Linked DNA regions of Arabidopsis thaliana. The protein of the gene in region 1 interacts with the protein of each later gene in a pairwise test. Each region holds a gene or a part of one and is shown in the gene's direction. Other genes may lie near its edges. The genes, in order: AT5G14910 and AT3G50560.

Region 1 (4,663 bases):
TTTGTTTTTTGTAATTCTTTCACTTTGAATGAAATTATTTATTTGATCACTATTTTCTCCCATTTTTGATTAACTTTATTTGATCAAATTTTGTGAGAAAATTGTTAGTGATCAATTTTTGTAATTCTACACACAAAGATAAACTTTTTAGAGAAAGACATGATGAAGGTAGGAAACATATATTTATATATTTATGTAAAATACAGTATATAATCCAACAAGAAATAGGAGAAAGGAAGCTATTTAATGGGTTGGAGAAGGTTGCAATTGCAGAGGAATAGCAACAGAAACGGTAAGAGACTGTCTTTGTGCCTGTCTCTACCTTCAGACATGCTCACCATGTTTTTTTCAGGTACATTACATTGTTGTAGAATTACCTTATGCAATTTCCTATTTGGAACCTTGCCAAAAGCTAGAGTTTACTTCTAAGTACCTCTGCTGATTTCCTACAGTTTCATGTGTTCAGAAAACTAAACACAATGTAATGTTTCAGACAATGATCTTGTCTTGTGGTTGAATCAGTTTTTTTTTTTTTTTTTTTTTTTTTTTTTTTTCTGTAGAAACTTTTTTACGTTTTAGCTACTACTCACTTGTACATTTTTTATATCGTTGGTGGATCTTATATTTTTTAAATGTTGTCCATCTTGTCCGTTAATTAGGTGCAGTATGATTTAAAGTGACGGTATAGCGTTATGGATCTTATTACTTCTGCAGAGATGCTAAAATTGATGAACAATATGCTTTTAGAATAAGTGGTAATAGCTTAGTGATTTAGACATATTACCCTGAATTAAGGGATGGATATGGGTATTGGAATCTTATTCAACTAATAAGGTAATGATGTGAAAGTTTAGCTCTGAGTTTTTATGCAGCTGGAAGCATCTCATTGGTGTTGGAACTAAGCTTTTCATTGCAAGTTGCAGATATATTTAGCTTACACAATGGCAAAAAAACAAAATTAATGTAATTAAAAACAAAATTTTCTCTTTAAGAATTGCTATACAATTTACAACTCCTCTCTTCTGACAGTTTTCTCTTCTTATAGTGCCTTTCAAGAACTCGTTTGGCCTCAGAACTGGGAAAGTTAGCAAGCTTATAGTAATGTGGTGCAACATCTACAAGCCATTCACCGCGAATATGTGTGACGGTTCGGATGAAATTTCGGCTAGTGAAAACGTATTCGTTGTAAACTACCCACTCTGGTTTGTGATCCAAGCAATTGGAAGGATGCAAGTGCACCACTTGGTCATCCTTATCTCTGAAAGTCAAGTAGTGGCCAGTGCGTTCTAGGTGAGCCACTTGCATGAAATAACCTGCAAGCAAGGCCTTTCTTATGTTGACGTAGTAGTCCCTGCTGTTGAAATCAGGGCTACACAACTTAATCTGAAACCTCAACATGATCCGGACCAACTGCTCTCTAACACTAACTGCAGACTTCATTGCTCTGTAGTTGATGAACTTTGTACAGCACCAATTTGGGTCTTGGTTGTTTTGCAAGAAAGCATGGAACAAATTCAAAAGTGTGAGATGATCTCCATCAATGTGTGCAAAGCTAGATTTGGCTTCATCTGCTGCTTTTTGAGCTTCTCCTCTTGGCCTGATGAAACAATTTGGTACTGATAACATCGCAGAAATCGAAAGAATCTCGTTTGAGCAGTTGAATTGAGGACTGACTATGAGCATCTTTGCCATCTGTGGGTCTAAAGGAAACTCACTCATCATCTCACCTGTCTTTGTCAAGTTACAGTCATCATCAAGTGCTCCCAAATGATACAAATCGTCCAAGGCCCGAGCGAGGGTATCAGGAGCAGGAGAATCTATAAGATCGAAGCGTACCAAGTTTTTCACACTAAGTCCTTTCAAGGTCAGAACTGTGTTTGCAAGGTTTGTCATTGTCATTTGCAAGGAGTAATATAATGTTTGATGGTCAAAAATTATATTACTCCATGAATTTATGAACCTTCTGACAGAAAGAGAGCTTTTCTAAAGGGTATTTATGTCTTTTTACAGGCTTGCTTCGAGTGGATAATGTGAGAAAAGAGCAAAACACAAAAATGAAAAAACCTTCTTCTCTTGTAACTCGCACAACCTTATCGAGTGAAAGAAGATTGGGTCAGTAGTGAAAAATGGCGTCGATTGCAGCTTCTTCTACCTTTCACTCGTTTTGCAGAACCAAAAGCCCTAATCTTTCTTCGACCCACCTTCTTCCTTTGTCGAAAAACCTCAACTTTCGGACCAGAGCTATCGGAAATAGCCGCAATTGCAGTTTTGCTGGGTTTATAAAACAAAATCGCCTTGGATTGAGGAAGCTTTCGTCTATTGGAGAAGGAGGAGAAGGTGTCGCTGTCGCAGAGGAGCAACCGCAAGAGACTGTCTCTGTTCCTGTCTCTCCTTCAGACATGCTCACCATGTTTTTCCAGGTACATCACTCTCTGTCCAGTGAATTTGTGTGATTATCATCCTCATTCTCCACTTATGGCTTTTTAATAGATATAGTAGGATTGATTCATGGTTGTATTATAAGGTCTTAGAAATGAGGTTTGCAAAATTGTATTGATACTGTTTTGAAGATACTATGAGCATTACTCTGTTGCAATTTCATGTGGCCTCAAATTGAGTCTGAACATTGTTGGATTTTTTGCTTGATTATGAAGGCTGATGGAACTTTGAACGAAGCAGCTATTCCTAATGTGACAAGGGCCTTACAGGTAATACTTTGCTTTGTAATCTCTCCTTGAACTAGCAAATCTGTGTGGAGCTTGACGAGAATCTTTGTGAATGCATCTGGTTCTTGGATTATATAACCCTTTTGGTTACTTGTTTCAATTCAATTTAATCTTTGTAGTTGTGTTAAACTTGGAATTTGGGTGTTCACTTTACTCTTTCCACGCTCTAAATCTTCCTTAGTACCTATAGCTTACAAAAACAGTGAATATAAAGGTTCCAATTGATACTTGTTTTGTTCTTTCAGGATATTGATGGAGTTTCCAATTTAAAGGTTCAGGTTTCTGAAGGTGTTGCCGTCGTTGAGGTATGTTTTACATCCAACATTGCCTTTACATGTCTCTTCACACCCCTACACAGTACACATATATGTTTAGAGGATATAAATAGATAAGGACAGATGTTGAATATGTTATTAGAGATATAATGGCTGGCACACCCTTAGAAGGACTGGACTGGTCAAATATGTCATTTTGTTGTACATTTTGGTGGTTAACCAGGGGATTAGTCTTTGGGGCCGTATAACAAAAGCCTCGAGCCTGACCTTGAATAGTTAAGGCCTTTATATGAACGGTTCTGTTACTGCTCGTAGCAACATCTCTATGTTTGATTGTACAATTGAATCTGGCTTATGTTGTGATCAATGTATGTGAAGCTTTTGAAGCAAACAACGGTTCAAGCAACAGGAGTGGCGTCAAACTTGGTGGAGACTATACAAGGAGCTGGATTTAAGTTACAGACTTTGAATCTGAGTTTTGAAGATGACGATGAGGTTCTTGTCTAGTGAAATCATCCTTTTCCTCCATTTTGTGATTAAAGAAACTCATAATGTTCAATTCTAGGGATAATTTCTTTCATTTGTTCCTCTAAAGAAAACAAATGTGGTAACTTTTTTTAGAAAGTGGGAATTAATGTTTTCTTTGTTGAAATAAAAGAGAAATGGAAAATATCTATATTGATTAGTGGGTCATATACATATGGGTTCCCACAAAGCATGGAGGTTGGCATTTTTATAGACTTTTAGGTTCATTGCTTTGTACAATGCATTTAGTTTTGTGTGTGGATATGATTGTCATTTGTCACTATGTATATGTATGCATGTACGATGTTGACATTGTGGAGTACTGTGGTTGATGATATGGTGAATCACAGCTCATGCATTGTTGTACTTATAACCCAAATCTTTACTTTTTTAAAAAATGTGATATTATAGACCAAAAACCTGTTCTTACCAAAACATGTGAAACAATCCTCTGTTTTAACATCTTAATTTATGAAACTATGTCATCGTGGAGTCTGTTTTAGTTTATTCATTACGTAAAAGAAGATAAGAAACATTCATTCGTAACAAAATTTTATCATGTTAACAGAAAAGAGGAAAGTGTGTGTACTCGCGACATATGTAATGATAAAAAATATGTATGTACTCGTTGTCGATTTCACTTTAATTACACTGTTGACCTCTTTTTCGAAAATATCAGAATTATAAATAAATAATAATAATAATCACCGCAACCATTTAAAGAACTCATGTGCTATTGTCCATCTATGATTTGAGAACACTTAATTTTTTATTAGAAAATATGAAAGATATATACCATATAGCTTAGATATTTCAAAACAAAGTATAGTAGTAATCTCGTAGGCCATGCTTGCTAAGTTAGCTAAACATAAACGACAAACCCTTGCTCACTGGTGCAATAATCGAAGTGAAGAGCCTCTTTATATGAAATATATAAGCGACACAGCCTTATGGGCAAATCGAATGCTATTTATTTATTTGATAAGAAGATTAATAATTTCAATTTGTCATCCACTAGTCTCTTGGGGTACTCAAAACATATCACCAAAAAGTCCATAGAGTTATTTGTTCTTATTTACTGATAAAGTATTCCAAGTTGATGTACGAATAAAGTGGCAATTTCATGTATTATCAATA
Region 2 (5,741 bases), on another chromosome or scaffold:
ACAACGATAGCTACTTTTCAACTCCTTCGGGACCTCTTGAATTAATGTTACACCTCAAGAACACGTAATTGAATTTGTTTTTATGTGACGGTGCGAGAGCAATCATGAGAAGAAAATAACATAATGTCTATATTTTGTTTTGTTTTCACTTAGAGAGTTTAAAAACGAGAATATGATGAGAATGACCAGACTTTATGTTATTTTCATAAGGTTGTGTTCATAAACGGCTAAACTCGGTTTTTTAAAGAAACTAATAATCTGATATTTTTATAGTAAAGACACATATTTAGCACTAGCCACTATATTATATGGTTTTGTAGTCTTACTGTTTATTGAATAATTTAGAACACTGTATATTTTTTGTTTGATGTTAAATGATTAAATATGTTAATATCAACTTAATATGAACTTAACTAAAAGACTCGATCATATAATGCAATGCACACACATGAATAATTATATAAAGGTGATATCGAAGGGCGTTACAAGAGAATGGAGGAAAGATTTGAGAAGATTTAGACCAATCATAGATGATATGGGTTAGTTACTCAGTTACCAATATCTGGTCCCATGTATAATGACATAATATTTGTAATTAGTATCTTATTGCCACTTTTTCATATATATATATATATATATATATATATATTTTTGTTCAAGTTTATCTCCTCCGTATTTGAAAGATCCTTTTTGTTGTTGCAAGAATCTATCAATCCTTATCTTCCGCAGTTCACATTCACATATCCCATCTAAGATATCTCATATCAGTCGTAGGATAATCTTTGATAAATCTAAAAGCAAGAGTAATGTTAATCTTTAACAAATAAAAGAAAGAGTAATGTAAGTTAATTTGAGTATATTAAAAAAAAAATGCAAGAGTAAATGTTCTTGATCATTCATAATTCTAAAAGCACGAGGGTAATGTTATCGGCAATCCTAATCACCTTTGTTAAGGATATAGTAGTGGTGACACGAACACAAATAAATATAACTTTGTAACCGATATAAGAATCGGTGACCATTATTTTTGATTCCCTTTTTTTTGGTAACGCTTTCCATACCGCTTTGTAATTAGTCATTCTAAAATCAGTAAGCTCTATACCGCAACGGTAAAAAAAAGTTATCAATCAGAGCCCACATTAAAAACTAAATTAAATATAAGGATATACATGTCATGTAATGTATCTAGAAACTTCGATGAAATACATTTGTATGTATATGTTTGAAATGCCTATGAGCTGTTGACAGAAGAGGAAAGGGGGCAGCAAATGTCCAACTTGTAAGACAAAAATAAAAGCCAAATCTATATACAAAAATCAAAAGGGGTAATCTCATAATAATAATCCCCTTAAAAAGAGAGCATATGGGTCAACCTATTTAATAAATTGTTATCATATTCATTACTTTTCTTCATTTCTTATAAGAAATATATATAAACTCTTTAAAATGTGCATACAAAATTCCTTAATTTTATGTGAAAGTTATTAATCATCAATAAATTAAGTTTTAACATCACATTAAATTTAACATTACAAGCCTACAAAACAATACTATAAGGGTTCTCTCCTACTCTTTCCTATAATTCACAAAAGTTTCTATAGTTTCTTATTATTCAGAAATGCATAAAAATACTATTAATTTTTAATGTTAAACAATTTAGAACGACCAAATCATAAAAAAGTGCAATGAAAAATTCGCATATGGTATATTGACCAATAGATCGAAATAAAATCCTCGACCACGTAATTTACAAAAGTCGGTCGACCTTATATGGGTCTTTTCGAAACATCTTGTAGAGTCTAACAAGTAAGAACCAATTGCTATATTTTCTTCCACATGACATGTCTCTTTGTCTAAGAACCACACTATCCATTGGACAGTACCATCTTTCACCTAGAACACATATATTATATATATATAGAATATTAATAATTCGATAAAGGTATACGTATACTTATGCAAATTGTTACATCATTGCAATGTTAAAATTATATAATTGCTATCAAAGGAAATGAAACTTTTCTGATATAATGACAAAGAAAGGTGTGTATATATGTATATATAACAACCAAAAATTTATCTAGTCCACAAGAATATTTCTCTCTCTCACTCTCTCAACACAATCTTATTAAAGGCCTAGGTTAAGGGGACACAACATAAACTAAAATTTTCTTATAATTATTTTTCACTATTTATCGATTTTATCCATAGAGAAGTAGCTATAAAGAGAAGAAGGTGGAGAAAGGAAAGATCATAAAGTATCGATGATGAGAAACGTAGGGAGTTCGAGCTCTGGCAGCAAAGGCATAGCGGCCGTAGTCGGCGTTGGTCCAAAGCTCGGTCGCTCCATCGCTCGGAAGTTTGCTCACGAAGGCTACACCGTCGCCATCCTCGCTCGTGATCTTGGTTTGATTCCTTTTCTTTCTCTCTTTTCATTTTGTTTTTTGCTTTTCTTTTTATCCATATCTTTATCTATTCATACACTATACACACCCACATGTTTCCATGTATAAATATGATTTTTTCTATATATGTTCCCATGGGAATTTTCTTCTTCATTTTTATTCCAATGAAGAAAAGGAATTGCGGCAGTTTTCTTCGCAAAATGAGTTATTTTTGAAGCCTTGAACAAACAAAAAAGGAGAGTTATTTTTAGAATGTTTTTCTTCGCTGGATTTCTGCTTTTGGCAAATATTAATGTGGCTGACTCACACCACACAGTCACACACACACACTGACACACATACATGCATATTAATCAATATATAATTTATAGTCAAAAGGTGCATTTTAAATGTATATTTGGTTATAAAAAAAAAAGATTTTGGGTTTATACATCAGTATTCACTATTCAGTACTTCACTATAGGCTTAACTGGTTCGTAAGACATAGTACTAATAGTGGAAATTTTTCAGTGTAAATAAATGTGTCGATAAATTCAGCTTTTTAAGAACCAGTACAGTGAAAACTTATTTGATTAAATTTAAATAATTTTGTTTTTGTTTGACACAAAAGATACTTTTTCATTCTGTTCGGTGATGAGAACATTAAACTGGTTTCCATTTGACTATAATAATAAATAGTTTTCTTCATCCCTCCATGTATATGAAATAGTTACTAAGTTACGCCCATCAGCTAATATTAATCACAAAACGGTGCACTTATTGCCGATCCACTACAAAAAATATATATAACACTTTTTTTTAGTAACACTTAAGGATATACTCAGGTTGGTCACTCTCTTAATATAGTCGGGTAAATTGTGCAGGTAGGTTATCTAGAGTAGCAGAAGAGATAGCAAGAGAAGAGAAAGCACAAGTGTTTGCTATAAGAATTGATTGTGCAGATCCAAGAAGTGTAAGAGAAGCCTTCGAAGGAGTATTGTCGTTAGGGTTCGTGGAGGTTTTAGTGTACAATGCTTATCATTCTTCTTACGCAAGTCACCATCCCACTTCTTTCACCCACATTCCTTTTCAATCTTTCCAAACATCTATCTCTGTCTCTGTCTTCGCTGCATTTCTTTGCGCTCAACAGGTGATATTTCTTGAAATCGCGATTAGTTATTATATACGAAACAATATTATGTTTTCTTTTGAAATCCCTCGCATGTTGGTCATGGCCCAAAAACCCTAGAATATAAGGTTTGATCAGGATAATCTTTGTATTGACTCATAATTTATCAAAAACACTTGTTAATATTATTGGAAGCGTCATTTTTTATTAGACTTTTAATGTTTTAGTTAAAATAGATAAGATTATTTCCACAAGAAGTAAATTTTTAATAGATTACTTAATCATTTGTTGATGTGCTAGTTGTACCAAATCCTGTTTTTATTTTATGTCAGGAAGCAGAAGCGTAAATGTTATAGTGAATGATTTCGACACTTCAATTTCTTTAAAAAGCTTCTTATTTCTAAGGTTTATATTTGATTTATAATAAATGGTACCAAAAGGTTACTCCCGGGATGATGGAGAAAGGAAAAGGAACTATACTCTTCACCGGTTGCTCGGCGTCTTTGAATGGCATTGCTGGTTTCTCCGAACTATGTAACTTTCTCAAGATTTTTAAAAATGATTTTATTTAAATTTTTCGCAAAAAAATATATTAATTAATGGGTTAGTCACTGAAGAAAATATATGAAATTGGCACAGGCTGTGGGAAATTTGCGTTGAGGGCACTGTCTCAATGCTTAGCAAAAGAATATCAAGCTTTTGGAATACATGTGGCTCATGTTATCATCGACGGTGTGGTTGGACCTCCAAGGTACACACAATTATGTGATCATTTTCCATTATAATTGAATTAGAACCACAAATATCTGTCCGAAAAAGGCTCTTTTAACTTTTTATACCTTCCACAAACGGCAAGATTCTGATCCAAACCGACAAGATTCTTACCTCAAAAAAAAATCGCAAATAAAGAATCATGTAGCTCCACTTCTTATTTATTTGCTATTTTTTTCTAGCAAATGGAAACCATTTTTTGATTCCATAGCCTCTATTTCATTATCTTCTATCGGTCAAATATGAAAAAGAGTCCCCACACTCACAACGGTCCACTCTATTGACACATTTAAGCATTTGAAGATATTACAAAATGAAATAGTATCGCATATATAGATAAAATCTCTTGAAAATGTGTTTTCAGAGAAACAAACATCCCTCCCCGAGGAATGGTCGCAGAGCAATCATTCAACGTAGGAGGCGAAGATGGAGAAGGAGAAGGAGAAAGCTCGGGAGTGATGGGAATGGATCCTGATGTATTGGCTCAAACTTATTGGTATCTCCATGTTCAAGACCGGAGAGCTTGGACACATGAACTCGATATCCGACCATCAAACCCAAATTTCTAGCTAGTACTTAAAAAAAAATACAAGTTGATTGGTTTATGATTTTATTCAATGCTATTTTAGCCAAATGTGTATGTATGTGTATTCTTGTGTTTGTAATGTAATTAAGTATTTAAAAGGGTTGGTTTATGATTGGCGTGAATAAGCTATCAATCTCTTATCTATTAATAGTTTCATTTTGTTCTTTAGTTTGCATGACTTTAGAGATGATGGTTTTGTCTTGTCGGCTAAGGCTTGAACTTTTTTTGTGGCATTAAGTTTAAAAAGGTACAAGTGCCTTGGTGTTTAAATTCGGGACACAAGAAGATCCGACAAGTCATGTGAATGGACTTAAGATCCGATCACAAAATAAAAAGGGACCCCCTTAAAGGTAAACTAGAAACAATGGTCCTTAAGTGTTGTCACGTCAAGGAACTACTCTATGTTTCGGGGTCCATTTTTTCACACGAGAGTAAAACTTTGGTGATAGTCAAGTCATCAAGAGATCATTAACGAGTCTTGTAGCTTTCTTATACTTCTAGAATAACAAAATAAAAGTACAGATAAGCATTGGTGACAAGAACACACTGAGAGTTTTCTTTGACTACACATTTGTGCTAGCATTGTGTTATTGTATTGCGTAAAGAAGCGAAAACTAGACCAGGAACAGTGAGTTAAAGAAGTTGCATGCCACCCCAAAAATCATGAATACCGGTAGTTCGCTAAGAGTAGGCTTAGTACAATCATAAGACGATCATATATGACAAGCGAACTTATGAGTGATTCGAACACAAGTTTACAAATAGTCTTTGGGGCTAGCCATTCTAAAATCGTTAAACCCTCTGAAGAAACTTATATAAGTGTGAAGAGAACAATAATCTCCATTGCATTAACAAATGTTTTCGACATCTC

The links.
Region 2: the proteins of AT5G14910 (region 1) and AT3G50560 interact in a two-hybrid assay, tested with the Arabidopsis thaliana proteins (one large-scale study listed by BioGRID).

Annotation. Positions count from the first base shown.
Region 1 is NC_003076.8:4,821,689-4,826,351, forward strand, and holds AT5G14910 (Heavy metal transport/detoxification superfamily protein), read left to right. Parts: upstream 1-1,893; intron 1,894-2,010; 5' UTR 2,011-2,126; coding exon 2,127-2,420; intron 2,421-2,654; coding exon 2,655-2,708; intron 2,709-2,971; coding exon 2,972-3,031; intron 3,032-3,379; coding exon 3,380-3,508; 3' UTR 3,509-3,964; downstream 3,965-4,663. Other genes in the region: AT5G14900 (helicase associated (HA2) domain-containing protein), read right to left, coding at 988-1,893.
Region 2 is NC_003074.8:18,760,359-18,766,099, reverse strand, and holds AT3G50560 (NAD(P)-binding Rossmann-fold superfamily protein), read left to right. Parts: upstream 1-2,043; 5' UTR 2,044-2,264; coding exon 2,265-2,406; intron 2,407-3,268; coding exon 3,269-3,534; intron 3,535-3,953; coding exon 3,954-4,047; intron 4,048-4,152; coding exon 4,153-4,264; intron 4,265-4,648; coding exon 4,649-4,853; 3' UTR 4,854-5,094; downstream 5,095-5,741.